2 linked regions of the Schizosaccharomyces pombe genome follow. The protein of the gene in region 1 purifies or fractionates together with the protein of each later gene. This does not show direct contact. Each region holds a gene or a part of one and is shown in the gene's direction. Other genes may lie near its edges. The genes, in order: dlp1 and dps1.

What was found.
Region 2: the proteins of dlp1 (region 1) and dps1 purify together in Schizosaccharomyces pombe (affinity purification with western blotting, with the first as the bait; one study listed by BioGRID). This does not show direct contact.

The regions. Positions count from the first base shown.
Region 1 is NC_003424.3:4,059,214-4,070,198, forward strand, and holds dlp1 (decaprenyl diphosphate synthase subunit 2 Dlp1), read left to right. Parts: upstream 1-9,385; 5' UTR 9,386-9,542; coding exon 9,543-10,427; 3' UTR 10,428-10,662; downstream 10,663-10,985. Other genes in the region: SPOM_SPAC19G12.09 (NADH/NADPH-dependent indole-3-acetaldehyde reductase AKR3C2), read left to right, coding at 1,039-1,893; cpy1 (vacuolar carboxypeptidase Y), read right to left, coding at 2,297-5,305; protein erh1, read right to left, coding at 7,045-7,115, 7,174-7,278, 7,410-7,439, 7,515-7,572, 7,624-7,645, 7,730-7,758; ubiquinone biosynthesis protein Coq9, read left to right, coding at 8,221-8,973; protein Poz1, read right to left, coding at 10,663-10,959. UniProt on the Schizosaccharomyces pombe protein: Supplies decaprenyl diphosphate, the precursor for the side chain of the isoprenoid quinones ubiquinone-10.
Region 2 is NC_003423.3:679,545-690,529, forward strand, and holds dps1 (decaprenyl diphosphate synthase subunit Dps1), read left to right. Parts: upstream 1-4,572; 5' UTR 4,573-4,598; coding exon 4,599-5,573; exon of another isoform or gene 5,574-5,654; coding exon 5,655-5,816; 3' UTR 5,817-6,138; downstream 6,139-10,985. Other genes in the region: AP-1 adaptor complex beta subunit Apl2, read right to left, coding at 1-90; knk1 (AAA family ATPase), read right to left, coding at 1,005-1,222, 1,270-1,678, 1,727-3,082; SPOM_SPBPJ4664.02 (glycoprotein), read left to right, coding at 8,172-10,985. UniProt on the Schizosaccharomyces pombe protein: Supplies decaprenyl diphosphate, the precursor for the side chain of the isoprenoid quinones ubiquinone-10.

The DNA.
Region 1 (10,985 bases):
ATTTAACCAGAAAATAGATTTTAGACAAAATCTATAAAAATATTTGTTAACAGAAACTAGCTTGTGGGGAATGCGTTTAGAATTCCTCAATTACAAGTTGCAGGTAAATTTACCCTAGTGTTTGTTAAGCGGACGTCGAGTTATTAACCATTACTATTGACGTTGGTTAACATGAATAAGCTTGAATTATTGCCAAGTCATTTTCCTGACACTTTCAGATTTGTTTATTTGTTTTTTTCTCAACCTCTGACATTTAGATGCATAATACATGTCAAAGACTTCTTAAATGATTACGATCATCATGCCTTGAAGGAGTTTCCTCAATTTCTTGCCGATAAAGACTATAGTAAAAAATGATCTAGCAAAACTGAGTAAGCATTGTTTATGATTAAAGCATTGCTATTATAACGCTACAGCTTAATGGTAACTACCTTACATTTATTAACATTATAGGTAAGAATATGCTGTAAAAACCGCCAACTCATCTGGTGGTGAAGATAATCCTCGCAGCTAAAACAGAGGGATTCATTCAAGAATTGAATATTGCTAAATCAATTAAATACCGAATCTAACGTTCAACTTATTCTTGCCTGTAAAACTGTTTTCTATTCAACTTACACTGTTTAGTTGGAACAAATCTGCTTTTGGTTACACGTTTGTTCCTTATCTGATCAGATAATTCTTCATTTTAAAGTTCCAAAGACTCCTCTCTTAGATGCTGCACAACGTCAGTCAGATATTCTGTATGCCAAGCCAGACTTGGCTGATGTCATCTGACTAAGTTTTTGGAAATCTATATAAATAGCGATATACGGCCCTTTCTCGCACTCTTTTCACCTAAACAGAGCATTTTTAAAGAAGAAATTTATTAATTCTTGCTGCGATTCTCTTTTCTTTTGCTTGCAAAAATCTCGGTTTAACGTTTATTCCATTCATTTCTATTTAACAATTTTTATCCTGCAACTTTTAAAGTAGCGCCTCTTTGTAGCTTACTCTTTTTCTACTTTCAAGTTCTTTCGTACTCTTAACATTTTCAACATGCTTATCGCTGCTATGGGCCCTAAGATTCCCGTCCCTGCTTATGGGGTTGGTACAGCTTTGTTTAAGAAAGAAAAGGGAGAAATCAATCGAACCATTGTAGATTCGGTAAAGAATGCACTTGCTGCTGGTTTCATTCATATCGACTGCGCGGAAGTATATGGCAACGAAGAGGAAGTTGGGGTGGCTTTGAAGGAAGCTAATGTTCCAAGAAGCAAACTCTTTATTACTTCCAAGGTTATGCATAATGTCGATAACATTCCTGAAGCCCTCAACGAATCTTTACGTAAGCTTGGTACTGACTATTTGGACCTGTACCTTTTGCATAGTCCTATTCCTTTCTATGAAAAGAAAATACCCATTTCTGAAGGTTGGAAAGCAATGGAAACGGCTTTGGGAACCGGTCTTGTCCACTCAGTTGGTGTTTCTAACTTTCGTATTCCCGACTTAGAGGAGCTGTTGAAAACTTCAACTATTACTCCTCGTGTCAACCAAATCGAATTTCACCCTCAAGTATACAAGGCCGCGAAGCCTCTTGTAGAATTTTGCCAGAGTAAAGGAATTATCGTTGAGGGTTATGGCCCTCTTTCTCCCTTGGTTCGTGATGCGCAAGGTCCTGTTGCTGAATTCACTAAATCATTGGAGAGCAAGTACCATGTTTCTGATACTCAAATTCTTCTCAAGTGGGCCTATTCTAAAGGCGTTATACCTATCACTACTACCTCAAAAATTGAGCGTATGAAGGAGTGCTTGAATTTTGATTCTTTCACTCTAGACAAGGCTGACATTGACGAACTTGGTACCTTAGGTGTTCAACATCACAAGCGTACATTTATGAAGCACATGGATGAGTAATACTTTTATGTGATCAAGATAATTTTTATTACGAAGCACTTAGTTATGGACAATCTATTTCAATTACAATCGACTGTTTACATCTTAAACCAAAAATTTTTGTATGCAGTAATTATCGGCGTAGTAATATTGGTCGGGAATTATAACTATGTTGTTACTATTACGACACAAACCGCGAGAATTGAAGAAATACTTACAGTGAAAAGTTTTCCAACAGCGTTACTTACTACTACTACAAAAACAAATATTTATGTAATTCATCATTATATCTTTCAAATATTAAAATCAATTTAATTAATAAAACGCAAAGATTAATTATGGCTACTGTATATTAGCCAATAGTCAGTCATATTCGGTTCATATCAACTATTCAGTAGATGTAAAATGTCCAACTGATGACACTTTAAGCAAAAAGAGAACCATCTATCCAGCTGTTCAACATTTCTAAACTAGCTTCGGGTTGGTTGAAAGGAACCATGTGTCCAGCTTCGTAGAGGCGAAGATAACCAAAGTTTTTGAAAGACTTACCACGACCAGCTTCCTTTCCATTAGGACTCCAAGGCTTCAATTCGGCCTCATAAAACTCACGTTGACCAGCCCACTCAAGTGCGTCGGTCCAAGCTTCATTGCCCATGTAATTGCAAATGTAGTCAGCATCACCGGCATAGATAAGAACGGGTAGGCCAGCTTCTAAGATTGCGGTGACATCGTCACGGAAAGTCTTACGCATCCAGTCACCCTTGAAAAGGAAACCAATGTTTACTTCAGTATTGCATCCCTTGTAATCGTATTCAACTCCCAAAGCTTCTTGAACAAATTCTTGGTTCAAGTAACTCTCAATTGCACCGGTTTCGGGGTAGCATAAGTGCTCTTGGTCACGGCATTCTTCACGAATATCATAAATGTTGAGTCCAGTCTTAGTAAATGGTCCAATCATAGCGTTATTGCAATACAAAGAGGCACCAATGCAAACAGGAGTAAAGCCAGTCTGGTAACAGCCAGTGATTAGCTTAGCGCAGGTATCATAGGCACCAGTAATGCGATCACATTCCTCTTGGGACATAATAGGACCGTAAGGGCTCTCGCAAGCCATTTTTCCGTAAAAGTAGTATTGGACCAAAGGATCAGTCAAACCATTTCCAATCAAGACACTCTTCAAATTGATGTATTGCTTCTCCATTTCATAGCCGCTGGCAACAAAGAAGTTAGCACCTTGGTTATGCTCCATAATTTCCTTGGCAAACTGGGGGATGTAATGGCCAGCATAGGATTCACCAGCAATGTGAAAGTCCAAATGAGCGTACTGAGGGAACTTGGCAAAGAAAAGGTTCAAGAATGCATAAACATCCTTACCAGCCGTAACAGTGTCAAGAACCGAGTCATCTCCGTTGCTGAAACCCGTGTTGATAGGTTGATCCAAAAAGATAACTGAAGCATTGGAGTTCCAACTGTGAGGGTTATATTCGGGTTTAAGAGTCTCAATGTTGATTGAAGAAGGACCTAATTCCATGAACAAACCAGTAAGGGAAGAGCAACCAGGACCACCGTTCAACCACAACACGACGGGATCATTCTCGGGATCATTTCTAGATTCAAAGAACCAGAAGAAAAGATGTCTGTCATCTTCGACATCTAAGTAACCGGTGTATTGCTTAACAGTGTCAATACCAAGTGATTCAGGTTTGGAATCTTTAACGCGAAGAGTGTGATCAGGGAAAGCCTTTAAATTTACATGTTCACCATTCTCTTCTTGTGAAAAAACAGCGTAGGGACGTGAAGAATCAGCAGGTTGAGCATTAGATGGCTTAGCAGGATGACTCTGGTCACGGAAAGCAGTCATAGGATCAATACCTTCAGCCTTGAGCATTTCAAGGTAGGCAAATTGTTCAGGAGTGAGATCACTCAACTCCAAATCATCGTCGAATTCAAATAGGGGGGGAATTGATGAATCCTTTGGGGCATTTTCTTGAATATGTACAGGAATGTTACCATAGTATTCAATACCAAGAGTGTCTAAAAAGCGAGAAAACTCTTCGGCAATTTCTTCAACAGGAACAGAATTGATGAGGTCAGCGAAAGCCTCAATGACCAAAAGCTCATGAGAACTTTGCATGTTTTGCTCAGGACGTTCGTTGTGCTTCTCCTTAGGTCCTTGATGGTGCTCCTTGTCCTTAGGTCCCTTGTGGTGCTCCTTGTCCTTAGGTCCCTTGTGGTGCTCCTTATCCTTAGGTCCCTTATGGTGCTCCTTATCCTTAGGTCCCTTATGGTGCTCCTTATCCTTAGGTCCCTTATGGTGCTCCTTATCCTTGGGTCCCTTATGGTGTTCCTTGTCCTCAGGTCCACGATGATGCTCAGGACCTTCATGCTCCTCAAGCTCATGGTGTTTGAAAGGAGGAGGAGGCATGTGCTCTCCAGGCTCGTGATGCATAGGAGGAGGAGGCATGTGCTCTCCAGGCTCGTGATGCATAGGAGGAGGAGGCATGTGCTCTCCAGGTTCGTGGTGCATAGGAGGAGGAGGCATGTGCTCTCCAGGTTCGTGGTGCATAGGAGGAGGAGGCATGTGCTCTCCAGGCTCGTGATGCATAGGAGGAGGAGGCATGTGCTCTCCAGGTTCGTGGTGCATAGGAGGAGGAGGCATGTGCTCTCCAGGTTCGTGGTGCATAGGAGGAGGAGGCATGTGCTCTCCAGGTTCGTGGTGCATAGGAGGAGGAGGCATGTGCTCTCCAGGTTCGTGGTGCATAGGAGGAGGAGGCATGTGCTCACCGGGCTTGTGGTGCATAGGAGGAGGAGGCATGTGCTCACCAGGCTCGTGATGAGCAGGGAACTCTCGATCCTCATCGTCAAATTCATGATGCTTGGGACGCTCGTCATCAAAGAAAACAGAGTCATCCTCGGGTTTAGGGTGAGACTTCTTTCCCTTTCCCTTAGCATGTTTACCCTTATGGTGCTTTCCTTTTCCTTTGCATTTACCGTGCTTTCTGCGGGGAGCATCCTCATCAGCTGAGTCATGAGGGCGCTTCTCGCGAACGTGTTCATCCTCATCATCGTCAAAGATATTGTCGAGACGATCAGAAACGGTGTGAAGGAAATCACGAGCAGGCTGAAGGAAAGAGTCAAGCTTGTCTTTAAATCCAGGGTGTTCTAAGGCAGTATCATCTTCAAAGTCATCATTAAACTCGTGATGACCCTTGGGGTGATGAGGAGCCTCAGCTTCATCACGCTCGGGAACGGGATTCATAAGAGGAGCAGAGCTTTCCTCTTGCTCACGGATGAAATCCTCCCCAAATTTCTCGTAAAAATCTTTGGGAACGACGATATCACCACCATTTTGCTCAGGAGGAACATAACCGTTAAACTGAGCGGATACGACGCAAGTGAGCAAAAAGTACAAGAAGGTTTGTTTCATTAACATCTTGTTTCAATGTACAGTATAGAAAGGAGAGAAACAAAAGGAAATGAAATATTCGTACAACAAGCTAACCAAATAGACCGAACTTCTCAAACAATCAATTGATAGATACAAATCTGTATGTACTGGATTAAAAAAGAAATTGCAAATTAGCCAAATCAGATAACTGTTAGGCAAAATGAGCTATATGGATAGATTAAAAAGAAAAATAAACAATGAGAAAAAGAATGTATTTAACTCAATGTCGATTGCGAAGCCTCACGTCTTACAGTGTGATTACAAGCACTAAAGGCAATGTGGATATCGCAATAAATAACTAGACAGAAAACCACAAAAAGTAGCAAATTCTTAAACAAACGTATTTACGATCGTTTTGCTGCTTTTCCCTCTTCAGATCACTTTACTGGTTCTAGGGTTCGATGGCGTTAATGTGTGCTTGGTTAAGGAGAAAAGTAAGCGGCAGGCAACAATCGCTATATATATGAAGGGTTAAGCATAAGTCCAGAAGCGTGACGCAGACGCCTCGCATGAATCATCATGTTCTAAGCCCCTTCGCAATCCTCCTTAGATATCGCTGCAAATACTTTACAATGTCTTTATACGCTAATAACGAAATATAATGAAAAAAGTAGCTTCGCTTGCAGTTAGCAAACAGGAAAATCACATCTGATAATATTTATTAAACAAAAAGAAAGGTAAACATGTGGATCAAGTTATTCTTAGTTGAATTATTGGATTCAATTAAACCTTAAACAGACAGTATAAAATATAAAAACACGCTCTTGTTATTAATTGTTTTGCAGTCATCAAGTACTTGACTAACTCTTTGCAGAAGCAATGGATATTTATCTTTGGAGAGTAAAATTGAGAAGCAAAGTACACAAAACTCAAGGTAGCAAATCTATAATGCCTAGACAATTATCTTGTATTGCTAGTTTGTGAAACAATGAATATGCATTCGCTTTATTGTGACTAATTCGTCCTGGTACGAATTGAAAAAGTAACTGGCCAAGCGGTTTCCGTGACAAAAATGGGTCAAAATACACAACATTATGTGATTTAGCTCCACTATACTAGGGCTATTCTTCTATAACCCGAGAACGTTGCTCGGCAAGTATACCGACATGATATATATACCTTATAATGTGTAGCAAAACTGGAAGGAGCGAGGGCGAAGATGAAAGCGATACAAAAAAAAACTATAAATAAATATATATATATAAAGAAATGTCAGCAAAGATCGAGTGTCTAGCAAGTACAAAAGTTTGTTTCTTCCGGTTTGACTACTTCAAACGAGGGCTTAGAAGTGGCTATGCTGTTTGTTTTACAGTTTCCCAGCACTGGAAATTAAAAAAAAGGGCAAAACAATACAATAGCGGCTGGCAAAACGGATGGAATTGGTCCTTTGTCTTGCACGAGGAAAAAACATGACAAGTAAAAAAAAAATTTGCAATTGGGTTTAAAAGTTAAGAGACAAATGCCATTTATTAGAACAATTAAATTTTATAAAAAAAGAATAGAAAAATAATTGTTAAAGATAGAATATAGCTAATGCATGATACAATAGAATTTGAACCTCTTAGAATATTGGTTGCTGATTCCAAAGGTGAAAAGCAGCTGCTAAAATGCCATTCCTAGTGCATTGATAAAGATTTTAATTTAGAAAAACTTAGTTCTATTTTTTCTTTGATTTTGAAATTTAAAGCATAGCAATGAGTAGCATAATATGGTGTTCGATATTTTTAAGGGATCTGTCTAGCAGCTGTGAGATATTCTTGAGCATGGTGTAACAACCATTGCTTTTCATGGGGAACTAATAGTAGAATTTATTAGTATCAAAATCAAACTGATAAATGAGAGAAACTGCTTACTATATGCACGAAAATGCCGATCGTATACCAAAGGAACGCAATCATAGATCTCGTCGAAAAAGTTGAAAAACCTTGAGACATCAATAGATTCCTTTTCGCTGACTGCTAAACATAAACGTCAGTCTAATGCAAGTTTTCATACGGTAAAGCTGAGTTTTCAATCCGGGACTTGGGAAAACATAGTTCATCGTCACTGAAATTTCCAACCAAAAAAGAAAAACAAAAATCGTACGTACCTTGATTTGTTTGGTAAACACCGACTATATCTAATATCACGTTAACAAATGATTTCCAATAAGTAGCGCATCCTCTACAAGGAGGACGAAAGATAATATTCATACACTCAATAGCAGAACGCAAGCTGCAATGGTCGCTCCATATACGAGTTTTTGGATCCGACTGATTAGGAGTTAGTGAAATCTTTAATTATCCTACAATCTAATGACATACTCCTTGTTGTATTAATAAAATGCTGTAAGCAAAATCTAGTTAGCGAATAGCCCTTGCATAGTGTACATAAGTGTCTTGAAGCTTTTCTGGCATTCGGGGAACATACATATGAGATTCTGCTGGTGGAGGCGACATTACGAGCCAAGTATTTTGAAGTATCTTCTGTTTTTATCGAGCAAGGATTAAGACCGCCTCTCAAACACACCGTCTAGCTTAATATCACCCTATTTTTATTTTCAATTTATCTGTTTGAAAATTATTTGCTATTGTCACACAAATTATTGTCAGAACGACTCTTTGTACTTTCAGGTGGGTAGCACAGTTATTGAGTAGCGATTTCGCTTTCCTTCTACAGTAGCATCCGTCACGCACTCTATCAGTTCGTTTACTTTGCAGTTCTCACAATTTAATATACTTCAAATATTATAATTATTTTTAGAAGTCATCTTCCAATCTTACTATATACTTTATCTAACTCGCTGATTTGAATAACTCGTAACACCTCTTTACCCATATCTCTTTCCTTCGAATTGCTTAGTGAAAGACCCTTTCTTTCTATTTTGTTTATTTTTCTGACTCTTTTTTTTATTTCTTTACATGTTGACTTTAAGAAGTGCTTGTCAGTTGACAACAAAAAACCTGGGACTTCATAAATGCATCTCCAAAACGGTCATTTCCGCTCTAGGAAGGAGAGGCTATCATAGTGAAAATTACGAAACCTCTAAGATATCCGGAAAGAAGGCTTTAATTTTAGAAAATGCTCTTGAACATGTTCCTCAACTGGGGTTCACGGAAGATGCAATCGTGCAAGGTGGTCAGGCCCTTGGCTATAGTAATCTCTCCAAGGCCCTCTTTCCTTCTGGTCCAATGGATTTGATTTCGTACTTTTTCCTGAAGCAGCGCTACGCTCTTAGTTCATTAAAGCCTCATTTGACCACTATCCCCGAAACATCTGGACGTGTTGTCCAGCTTATTTGGTCTCGTCTGCAAGGAAATAGGGATATTGTTCAGCATCTTCCGCAGATGATTGCAATTTGTACATACCCTTCAAACTTGCGAAAATCATTATCCTCTCTGGCTGAACTGTCAGATGAGATTCTTTACCTCGCGCAAGATAAGTCAGCCGATTTTCAATGGTACACGAAACGTGCTGCTATCTCTGCCATTTACTCTGCATCTGAGTTATTTATGAGTCGTGATACTTCTCCTAATTTTGAGGCGACTTATAACTTTGTTCAACATCGCATTCAACATGCAAAAGCCTTAAATGACTTACGCAACGATGTCTTGGAATGGGGTTCCTTTCAGCTGAATGCTGTGAGATCAATCCTTCGTTCAAGGGGAATTTAAAATTCACTGCTACTCCTTTTGCTTGTTGGTTTAACAAATCAGCTTGATTCAACTTTACGTTATGCAAGAAATAAATGCAATTTCATTTCCTACAATATTTAAGTTTTTTTGGCTAATTGTTTTCTCCATATATCGGTAGTTATTGTTGAATGTACTCTTTGATTCGAAACTTCATTTGAACAGTGTTTACCTTAAAAAAATCTATAGAAAAATCCTTATATATTCACGGGTTGATAACAAATTAACTTCAGTAAAACATTTAATAGAAACACACACTTTGACTAATGCTACCTTTACTACTTGTATATTCTGTTTTTTTACTACCTTGAACTTACTATTCTGACTCTTCCTGAGGTAACCTGTGACTTTGAAATAATTAGCTAAAACTGACAAGACACAGGCGTAGTTAAAGAACTCCAAAAATGAAAACATAGTAGCAATCAAAGCATCCCACTATTTTTTGTCTCTCGTTTCATTAGCGTTGTAAATTACTGATACCCTACTATACCTCTACAAGGCCTTTGTCATCTTTTTACTCAAGTGTGAAATCATCACTTATTGTATGAAGGATGAGCTTTCCGTTCGCTAGTTTGCTGAAAAGGCCTTCTGCAATAAGCTCTCTATTATCTTTAAAAAAACCTGGTTCCTGGTCTTCCATTCTGCTAAAAGCTGTAGGGGTTTTATCACGAGATTCCCGTTGGCATTCTGACTTATTAAAAATGCTTACAGAAGAAATGGATTCTTTAAATGGTCAAATTAATACGTGGACAGATAATAATCCTTTATTAGATGAAATTACGAAGCCATACAGAAAATCTTCAACTCGTTTTTTTCATCCGCTTCTTGTACTTCTAATGTCTAGAGCATCAGTAAATGGGGATCCACCGAGTCAGCAACTATTTCAAAGGTACAAACAACTTGCCCGTGTAACAGAATTGATTCATGCTGCCAATATAATTCATATTAATATTGGAGAAGAACAAAGCAACGAACAGATTAAACTTGCAACGTTGGTTGGAGATTATTTACTCGGAAAGGCGTCTGTTGATTTAGCACATTTAGAAAACAACGCTATTACAGAAATTATGGCTTCTGTTATTGCAAACTTAGTTGAAGGGCACTTCGGAAGCCGACAAAATGGCTCTGTTGGTTTGTCAAACGAACGAACCATCCTTCTGCAATCAGCCTTTATGCCAGCAAAGGCATGTTTATGCGCAAGCATATTGAATAACTCATCACAATACATTAATGATGCGTGTTTCAATTATGGAAAATTTCTAGGCTTATCGCTGCAACTGGCCCATAAGCCTGTATCTCCTGACGCCCAAGTTTTGCAAAAGAATAATGACATTTTGAAAACATATGTTGAGAATGCCAAGAGCTCATTGTCTGTTTTCCCCGATATAGAGGCTAAGCAAGCTCTCATGGAAATCGCTAATAGTGTTTCGAAGTAATCGACAGGTATTGTATCCTGGATTAATATTAGGGTGGCTCATGCATGCTCGTGCAATCGTAACAAATATGTCTTTCTTTTACGAATTTTAACGCTTCAATATAAATCATATTTTTCCTCATTATCCTTTGCTTGAGTCATTGAATTTAAAAGCATTAGTTTTAGACTTTTGACCCCTCCAGGAATTTAAAGATACCAAAAATTTATTAATATAAAGAGCTTATCGTTATTCGATACTAATTAATGTTTGAGGTAAGCATTTTAACAATCTCTCTTTGTTTGAAATCATAGTCGCAGAATACCTCTAGTTGTAGCTTTGTACACTGTATGTATCGACTGAGCACACTATTGAATTTAGACCATGGCATTTTTTTCTTATGCTGAGAAACATAAATTAGCCTCTTTCGTATTTTGTGTTTTGATAAACGTTGTAAAGCTTCCATCTCTTTTTCGTTATGACTTCCCCAGTCTTGGAGAAATTTAGTAAAGTTGATATGATCGATTGGTTCCTGCTCTAGAAAATGAAAGGCCATCTAGAATACATCAAACATCATCTGTT
Region 2 (10,985 bases), on another chromosome or scaffold:
ATACTGAGAAACTAGTCCCTTTTGTAATTCACTTGTTTCGCTTTTTTTAAATGCCTTAAAACGGCTCGATTGAAACAACTTTGGAACCATTCGGTACTATTGTATAATTCCGCTCTTTATGTAGCTCTTTTAAAGGTGGTAAACGTCCTAAGGTCAAAAACACGTTTACATATATAAAGCAGTGGTTCAATAATCATGTCAAGTCAAACCCATTCGGTGAGAAACACCCACTCCCAGAAGTAACAAAGGTGACAATATCGAATACTGAAATCCAATTTCTATATATTCATGATTTCATTTTCAACCTGCAATGCTTTAAACGCTACTATTATGACCTTTAAATAAATTTTAAAACATTTAATTCAGTATACAAACAAGAGGTTGAAATGTTATTTCAATAAAAGCTATAAGTTAATTGCCGTAAAAATGCGATTCAAGTAAAGCAATACCCTTTTCCAAACATTAAATAACTAATAATTATTGTTCAAAATTGGAGAATAGTGAAGGGAAAAAAAGTAGCCCAATAGGTTGAGGCTGTATGTAAACGAAATAAATATGACGATAAATGGAAAAAATAAAATAAAGAGAATTGATGGAAAATACAAAAGGGGAGCATTTGTAAAAGGCGCTGTCAAGTCGGCTATGATTTAAAATGTCGTTTATAGCGATAGTCAAATCACGAATACATTTTAGTTGTTGTAGGAAAGACGAAAATAAAATGAAGGTAAACAGAAATTAAAATTCGTAATAAGCCAAGTTTATGCAAAAGAAAGTTATTGAAACCACATGAAAATCAGCATCCACGATTCAATCCCTAAATGCACGGTAATTCTCATAATATCCAGAAAAACGATACCCAAATGATTCGTTAAGAAACATTAAAGGATAAAATTAAAAAGAGAGAAAGGAAGTTTGAATAAATTAAAGGATACCCTGCCTTTTTGATGCAAAAGAATATATGATTTCTTGAAAATATTAAAGGTAGAATACTCTACAAAGTTGTTTTAACGTTGCGAACCAAATTGTTTATTCCACTCTTCGTAACGATGAATACCCTCTTGTGAGACACTTGGACGAATAGTACGAAGGCTAGCTTTAAAATGATTCAAGCTGATCGGAGGTATCATCTCTGCACTGGTGGTAAGTAGAGCATCACCCAAGTTTCTTAAAGGACCCATTGCTGCGTCTTTGGCTAAAGCAGTGATATCAGAGCCTGAATAACCTAGATGGCGTTAGTTAACTAACCAATCGAATTATTTATATACATACCTTCGGTAAGATTGACAAGTTCTTCCAGATCCTCCTCCGTCAAACAGTGTACTTGATTATGAAGCAAATGAGAAAGATGTTTATATCTTGTTTCTTTTTCAGGTAACGGAATATAGGTTCTTTTAACGAATCGGCGTCGAGCAGCCTCATCAATACACCACGGAAGATTTGTAGCTGCCAGCACCAAAACACGGGGAGAGTGACCAGTTTGCTTGTCCGGAGCCGCATTAGTTAACGAAGACCATTGAATTAAAAATTCTGTTTTTAATCTACGAGAGCTCTCGTGCTCATTACCGCTGTCATTACGAGCGGAAAGAATGGAATCAATTTCATCAACAAAGATAACGCTACATGTCTGGCGCTTCGCAACTTCAAAAAGGGCTCGAACCAACTTTTCAGAATCACCAAGCTAAATCAAGGTTAGTTAAGAATGGGGTTAAATATAAAACTTGCTTACATATTTCGAGGTTAATGATGAAGCCGAAATCGAAAAAAATGTGGCTTTCGCTTCGGTCGCAACAGCACGAGCAAGCATGGTTTTGCCGGTGCCAGGGGGGCCAAAAAGAAGCATGCCTTGTACGGGTTCACGCAATCCTTGGAAAAGTTCCGGGCGTAAAAACGGATAAATGACTGCCTCTTTCAAGGAATTTTTAGCGTCATCTAATCCGGCAATGTCCGACCAGTAGACAGGTTCATGGTTAGAAATAATTTCATTCATAATAGCATATTCAAAATCACTTGAAGGAGTGGTCTGTTGAAGAGGTTCAGTTTGTTGAGTAGTACTAGCTGAGATAGTTTTTGACACAATTGTCTTAGAATCAGCGGTTGCCGGAGGAGATGTAGCAGGTGATCCGGCTGTGTCAGCGGAAGACGGTCGAGTGGAAGAACCAAGGGTATCATGAGAAGAGTTTAAGTATGGTTTATATGGGCTAGGATGCTTGCGCGATTTTCCATCGCTGGATGAATGCGATGCAGACGTAAGGGGGACGGCAGGAACATGGAGTGGAGGAATTGGCGCATGGAAGGAGAGGGGAGTGCTATTGTTAGCATTTTGATTGTTTGACACCTGAATAGAAGGGCTAGATACCGAATTGGAAAGCGTCGGTTTAGTCGTAGACTGACTTTTCATAGCGGTAGGAAAAGTGGTGGAATTCATGGTAGCAGAACGACCTGTATCAGAAGAAAGAGCAGAAGCAGAAGCGGCAGCACTCTTAGAAGCAGCAGCAATGGCCGAAGCAGAAGAATTGAAAGAGGCAAAGGGATCTTCGGGTTTGAGGGGTGGAGAACGGTTTGGCTTAGAGGGTGCCAGATAAGAAGGTGCATCTCCATAGGAAGAAGAAACAATGGATGAAGTGGAGGTAGAAGGAGGCGAATGCTTGGAATATATTTGCTTAGGCGTAGATAAATTTACCTCCGACTGCGCACCTCTCGTCTGTCTGTACATCATCCTAGTAGTCATGGGGGTATACGCAGGTGTTTGAGATCTTACTGGACGTAAGGGGTGAAGATCAACGGGCGCCTTCTTTGAAAGTTTGGCTGCAAGTTGATAATTTTGCCTTTCCATTTCACTTTCCAAAATCGTCTTACGCAGCTTGCTTGCCTTGCTCAAACAGTTGTCATAGAGCCCGTTCCAAGAACATGCCTCTGCGCCCGTCAAAGGTCCCAATCCCATGCGATCGCGAGCTGCCGACGACTTCTTCATCTCCTCTAAAACCTTGCAGTAACTCACATACGCACCAGCCCAATCCCTATTTCCTTCACACAATAATGCTCTTGATGCTATCGGTAGTATTCTATCCAAGTCTGAGTCCATTTTCCGCAGTCGACTCGTCAATGGCTTTTTTGCTTTTGGCAAGTTCAAATGTCAAAAGTGCTGTCTTGTCGTTAAAAATCCCATAGAATGTTCGAAGTAACGCTGTTACTTTTCAGCCACTGGTTTTCTTTCATCTCTTCAAAAGCTATTTGATAAGGAATTCGTATTGGAGAAAATCATTTTATTCATAGATTCAATAGATGAGTAAATATCTTTCTTTCACACTCTTTTTTTTTTCCCGCTAATTCGCAAATCCGGAAATTTGTTTACAACAAAAAACGTATTATTAACGATATTAATCATTTCATCGCTATGCTAGTAGTGTGGATTAGAGAGCACTTTAAAATCGAGCGCCTTCGACTGGCTGAAAAACAGAAGCCAAGCGGTTTTCGATGAGAACAAATTTGCGAAAATTTAAGTATCTTTTGATATACCTACAAATTCTAAAAAAAATTTCTCTAGTTGAACTTAACGCTCAAATAGAGCTTTTTTTAAGAATACTTGAGGCCCGGGAGATGTAAACAGATCAGCTATGTCTGAAAGGAACGGGATGGCACTTAATGTTGATAAATTTTTTATTTTTTAAATTCTTGAAGTGAATGGTGAAAAAAGTCGGGCGCCTAATCGTTAAAAGCCTTCAAAAGTCAAAATGTGATAAAACAAATATGAATGTAACGTTTTGTACTACAATGACAATAATCTTAGCAGGCGAATCGTTTTGTAGACTAGAAAAGTACGTAATTTATTTTTATTAAATGATCCTACAAATACTAAAACTTGTAAAAATGCTTTTAAGCAATTTCTGATCAATTAAAATTTCACGCATGTCAAACCATTTAGAAATGTTTATGTTGTTAAAGCAGTGTTACAAAGCTATTAAAATACCTAAAAAATATCAACAATGTATTCGTAAATTCCTAGAACCAATAATTGTTCAAGTAAGATGAGAAACTCTTGGAAGATCAACACATATAGAGGATTCCCTGAAGCTGTTATATTAACTTCGCCAAAAAAAAATTAGTTGTAGTATAAGATTCATTTACTTATCTAAATATTCTGCTTTTGAGTATTCAACCAAGTAGCACTTCTCCCATCGAATATTGAAGCAATTTGGAAGTATAAATTGTTTTGATTATTGTGTCGTATAAAAAATGATACACGGGAGAGATGCATATGCAAATAGATCTGTGAATTTTATTGTTAACTGATTTGATGTATAAGCTGTTGTAAGTTTTGATAATGAATTTGGCCTCTGAGGAAGATGCTCAATATCCTGCTTGACTCAACAGAATTCTTCAGAAAAAATACTTAAGATCAGAATGGTATGAAGAAAAAACGATAATTAAAAAATGTTTTGTTTGTTTACAAACTATTTAATGATTCTTCCGTTCTTTGAAATAAACTTATCTGATCAAAGCGACGTCATATCTAAGCGAAATCACGGTAAATACCATGATATACAAACCATCCCAACTCTAACTTCATCATTTAGTTACTTTTGAAAATAAGAAATGAAATGATTCAGTATGTATATTTAAAACATATGAGGAAATTATGGAGTCTTGGAAAAGTCCGTTCGACTGTTCTTCGGTTTTCTACTACGAACCGCAATGCTTCACATTTAATTAAAAACGAGTTGGAACAAATCTCACCAGGGATTCGTCAAATGCTGAATTCAAATTCAGAATTTCTTGAAGAGTGTTCTAAATATTATACCATTGCTCAAGGAAAACAAATGCGTCCTTCTCTTGTTTTGCTGATGTCCAAAGCTACAAGCTTGTGCCATGGTATTGATCGGTCCGTAGTGGGCGACAAATATATTGATGATGATGATTTAAGATCATTTTCGACGGGTCAAATTCTTCCTTCTCAATTGAGATTAGCACAAATAACCGAGATGATCCATATAGCAAGTTTGCTGCATGACGATGTGATTGATCACGCTAATGTCCGTAGAGGCTCACCTTCAAGCAATGTTGCTTTCGGTAATCGACGGTCAATCCTTGCGGGTAATTTCATCCTTGCACGGGCTTCGACTGCTATGGCCCGCCTTCGAAATCCCCAAGTTACGGAGTTGTTAGCTACAGTGATAGCAGACTTGGTTCGAGGTGAGTTTTTGCAGCTAAAAAATACTATGGATCCTTCATCTTTGGAAATAAAACAATCAAATTTTGACTATTATATTGAAAAAAGTTTTTTGAAAACAGCCAGTTTAATTTCCAAAAGCTGCAAGGCTTCTACAATCCTCGGACAATGTTCTCCTACTGTAGCAACAGCTGCTGGAGAATACGGTCGATGCATTGGTACTGCTTTTCAACTAATGGATGACGTGTTGGACTATACGTCGAAAGATGATACTTTAGGAAAGGCGGCTGGTGCAGATTTGAAGCTAGGGTTGGCTACAGCTCCCGTCCTCTTTGCATGGAAAAAGTATCCAGAACTTGGTGCAATGATTGTGAATAGATTCAATCATCCTTCTGATATCCAACGGGTAAGAGAAGCTGAAGTTTTATTTATTTATTTGATTTCCTTTTCTCTATCGTTAATTTTCAATTGCTAACATATAATTTAGGCTCGTTCTTTGGTTGAGTGCACTGATGCTATCGAGCAAACCATCACTTGGGCAAAAGAATATATCAAAAAAGCCAAAGATTCCCTTCTGTGTCTCCCTGATTCACCTGCAAGGAAGGCACTTTTTGCGTTGGCTGATAAAGTAATAACGAGAAAGAAGTGACGAGTTTAGTACGCTGCATCTTTAACTATTAGATAAAGGCCTCTTTTTCTTATTCTCGAAAAATTTAAAACAATTAGGTTTAATTATATATACGACTTTGGTAGACCGAGTTGAATTACCGCTCTTAATAGAGCAGTGAAAATATTACTAATATGCGCTGCCTTGATTGGTTTTTCTTCCATAAATGATTTCAGGTTATTACAAAGTGAACGACAACTGCCAACGAATGCAATGATTTTATAACGACATTGCAAGCCACTAATGATACTGTCTATAAAAATTGGACTTCAATAAATAAACCAAGCACTTCGTAATAACTATTCTTGACTAGTGTTATAGTCTTTGTGATCTCGCTGCTCAAATGTCAGATGCTGATTTTGGCTCCAATTTTCTGTTTACGTTATAACAACTATCATGTAAGTTTGTCCATTACTTATATCTGGTGAAAAAGGCTGCATAACTATGGTAATACTTTTTGTCAGATCTAAAATTAGGAATCAGATTTTATCCGGTAGCTTGCTGTGCTTTCCCTGGACTGCAAAATTATTTTCACCTGTATTCTTTTACTATACCTTTTTGATAGCCTATAAACGTTGAGCGTTGAGCTTTTAAACTTACCAAAACTACAGGGCCTTCCTTCTTTCCCCAATGCTCGAATGAACTTTCGTTAGTATCAACGTTTCCTTTTGTTTAGTACCCCTATAACAATATATATAACGACCTTCTTTTTGAATAAACCATAGCAAAAGCTAAAAGTTTGGATGTATTAATGAACATTGTACACCTCAGTCAAACAACAGTAATTTGACTATTAGATGATGATCGTAATTACTATGTTAACATATATCTGATGCCTCAAAAGTGCAAGAAAATGAATAAATTTCAAATTAGTAAATAATTGACTATCGGAAATACTTAACAATATATAGATCCAGTTTTTGGTTCAAATAATTAATATTATTATTAATAATATAATCGTGAATTGCATCCTGTTGCTAGTTTAAAGCCCTTTGTTACCACAATGAAGTTTAAATGGGTTTAAAAAATCCTTAAAAAAATAGATTTTATTGATCATCATGCAATGTCATTAGAGTAAAAAGTACGGACGAATGTATATTTTTTTTATTTACCATAATTTGGTACACTTTGATATACTAATGTAGGTACAGTGCTTTCAAGAAGAGCTCAAGTAACAATGTCAGTGGTTACCTACTAATTATATTTTTTCCATTAACAGAACCATCTAATAGCAAACCTTTTTGAATGTCAGTTTAATTCAATATACATGTATGTGAATTTTGTGCTCATAATTAAACATATTAAACATAATAAATAACTAATCTCGAAAATTCAAACATCCGCAATACAATTACAAAGTTTAAAACACGCTGATAAAAAACTTCTTAAATGAATCCTGTATCCGTAAAGGGTCAATGTTTTATTCTAGAAGCCCACATCCGCTTAATCGTCTATCCAAAATTTTTGGAACGGGTTAAGCTTTAAGCAGTTAAACTTGCTCATAAACTAAAAATTTATCTCTCTCATATAAACGCTTTGGATTTTGGTATTATTGTGAGATGCCAGAGTCACTTAAGCTTGTTTAATCAAATTATTGCTACGCTTTGTCGTAAGGGAATATGTTCGATGGATGATTGCTACTCCCAACATTTATCCAATATGTTTTATCTCTTCTGATTTACTCATGCGATATTGCAAGATAATCGGCCTATATTCTGTAAGCATATTACATGCTTCGTTATAGCCGATTCTTACCGGTGATGTTTCAGATCTTCATGGGCTTCTAGGCCGTAGTTGTAGCGATACATTGTCAACTTGTTCCGTCGGGACATAATGGAAATCAATGATGAGGCTGGCTCAAAACTATGTTTTTTTAAATAGAAAAGTGTATAATTTTCCTGGGTGATTTATTTTTTTTTGGCGTTTCTTTTTTTGGGAGAGTTGGCTTTTGAGTGTAGAATACTCCAGTTTAACTTGGCCATTTATTCTGTCGCTTGGATCATAGTGATACCTTTAATCAGCTTAAACTTCATTCATTTTCTATATTTAGATATTCACTGCTCTGAGCAGATTAACTCATTGGTATTCTCTGTTCCTTATTTCGGTAAATTCTAAGCTCATTTCAGCTCCCACATTGCTCAGGGATTTCGCTTGAGATCTGATATATACAAAGAGTTATACTTAGCGAACATTCACCCATTACACGTATTTGATCGTTTGTATTTACTCTTTGTTGTTCGTCGTCGCCAATCGGTTTCATGAATATATTTTGAAAACAAACTTTCTTGCCTAATCAAAGGATCAACCGATCTGTGCCAACTTTAATGGTGTCTAAGAATGGTCGAAAAAACTTCACCGATTTTAATAACCCTTTGTATATTTTTGTTAATTCCAATATCAAGTGCTCTTCCTTTTCAGACTTTCGAGGAAAGCCTGAAATTGAAAAGTAATATTTCGCATACTGGATCTTTTTTCGCTAATCTTTCGCAATCATATTCTTCAACTAGCATAATACATTCAGTGAGTTCTCCTGTTGATTGCTCTTTGGACGTTAATAACCAAATTAATACTATTAATATCACCTCAGTTTCAGCTGGGACTAATGAATTGTTTTTACCTACTTTATCCCATGCTCACGCTAATGACCGGGAAGCATCTCTTTTTTTTCCATACACAGACATAAGATATAACGGCTTCCCAGAACCCTCCAATACGGACAGTACGAGCATATTATCCTTTAATACCATTCGTTTAATCCCGTCCACTAATGTCATAAACACTTCACATTATAAAGGTTTTAATCGCTATCCAACGATATCATCAACAGTCAAAGTAGGTAAACGCGCAGCGACCGCTTCATTCTCCTATACCAACGTTTCGTCTTCCGTAATAGCGACAGCGTATACTTCTGCTTCTTCAACAATTTTATCTTCGCCATCAGTTGAACAATCTACTCCAAGTATCATTACTCAAACTGAAAGCTCTACAACTACTGAAGGCAGCAGTGTCGCTTCTTCTGAAAGTACTATTGCCAATTCCGATCAGTCATCTTTTATAACGTATGAATCGACTCAAAATCCCACTGCGAATAAAACGGACGCATCGCAACAAAGTACAGAGTCGACAAGTAGTTCTGCAAGTGCCTATTCGTATATCACAACACTTCAGACAGCCACAACAGCTCAACAAACCACTTCTGAAAATACCTACTCAACCTCCGGACCCAACTTGACAACATCAAACACTTCACCCCAAATTTCTAGCACCATCTCCTCAAGCTCTTTCATAGTTGAAAGCCCATCCGTCGCGCTAAGTACATCATCCACAACCACAATAACAAATGCATCAACACCCGCAGCCAACACTATAATCAGCAGAAGCTCAAAGCCAACCGATACGACCAACAGCATATCGTTCGCAAACACTACTCCCGAAAACACATCCACACAAATTACTAGTCCAACTGCTGTGAACAGTTCTACACCAATTACTAGTTCTAGTGTTCTGAACAGTTCCACACCAATTACTAGTTCTAGTATTCTTAACACATCCACACCAATTACTAGTTCTAGTGTTCTGAACAGTTCCACACCAATTACTAGTTCTAGTATTCTGAACAGTTCCACACCAATTACTAGTTCAACTGTTCTGAACAGTTCTACACCAATTACTAGTTCAACTGCTTTGAACACATCCACACCAATTACTAGTTCTAGTGTTCTGAACAGTTCCACACCAATTACTAGTTCTAGTGTTCTCAATAGTTCCACACCAATTACTAGTTCAACTGTTGTGAACACATCCACACCAATTACTAGTTCAACTGTTGTGAATAGTTCTACACCAATTACTAGTTCAACTGCTTTGAACACATCCACACCAATTACTAGTTCTAGTGTTCTGAACAGTTCCACACCAATTACTAGTTCAACTGCTTTGAACACATCCACATCAATTACTAGTTCTAGTGTTCTGAATAGTTCCACACCAATTACTAGTTCAACTGTTGTGAACACATCCACACCAATTACTAGTTCTAGTGTTCTGAACAGTTCCACACCAATTACTAGTTCAACTGTTGTGAACACATCCACACCAATTACTAGATATAGTGTTCTGAATAGTTCCACACCAATTACTAGTTCAACTGTTCTGAACAGTTCCACACCAATTACTAGTTCTAGTGTTCTGAACAGTTCTACACCAATTACTAGTTCAACTGCTTTGAACACATCCACACCAATTACTAGTTCTAGTGTTCTGAACAGTTCCACACCAATTACTAGTTCTAGTGTTCTGAACAGTTCTACACCAATTACTAGTTCAACTGCTTTGAACACATCCACACCAATTACTAGTTCTAGTGTTCTGAATAGTTCCACACCAATTACTAGTTCAACTGCTTTGAACACATCTACACCAATTACTAGTTCTAGTGTTCTGAACAGTTCCACAGCAATTACTAGTTCAACTGCTTTGAACACATCCACACCAATTACTAGTTCTAGTGTTCTGAACAGTTCTACACCAATTACTAGTTCAACTGCTTTGAACACATCCACACCAATTACTAGTTCTAGTGTTCTGAACAGTTCCACACCAATTACTAGTTCTAGTATTCTTAACAGTTCCACACCAATTACTAGTTCTAGTGTTCTGAATAGTTCCACACCAATTACTAGTTCAACTGTTGTGAACACATCCACACCAATTACTAGTTCTAGTGTTCTGAATAGTTCCACACCAATTACTAGTTCAACTGTTCTGAACAGTTCCACACCAATTACTAGTTCTAGTGTTCTGAACAGTTCTACACCAATTACTAGTTCAACTGTTGTGAACACATCCACACCAATTACTAGTTCAACTGTTGTGAATAGTTCTACACCAATTACTAGTTCTAGCGTTCTGAACAGTTCTACACCAATTACTAGTTCAACTGCTTTGAACACATCCACACCAATTACTAGTTCTAGTGTTCTGAATAGTTCCACACCAATTACTAGTTCAACTGTTGTGAACACATCCACACCAATTACTAGTTCAACTGTTGTGAATAGTTCTACACCAATTACTAGTTCAACTGCTTTGAACACATCCACACCAATTACTAGTTCTAGTGTTCTGAACAGTTCCACACCAATTACTAGT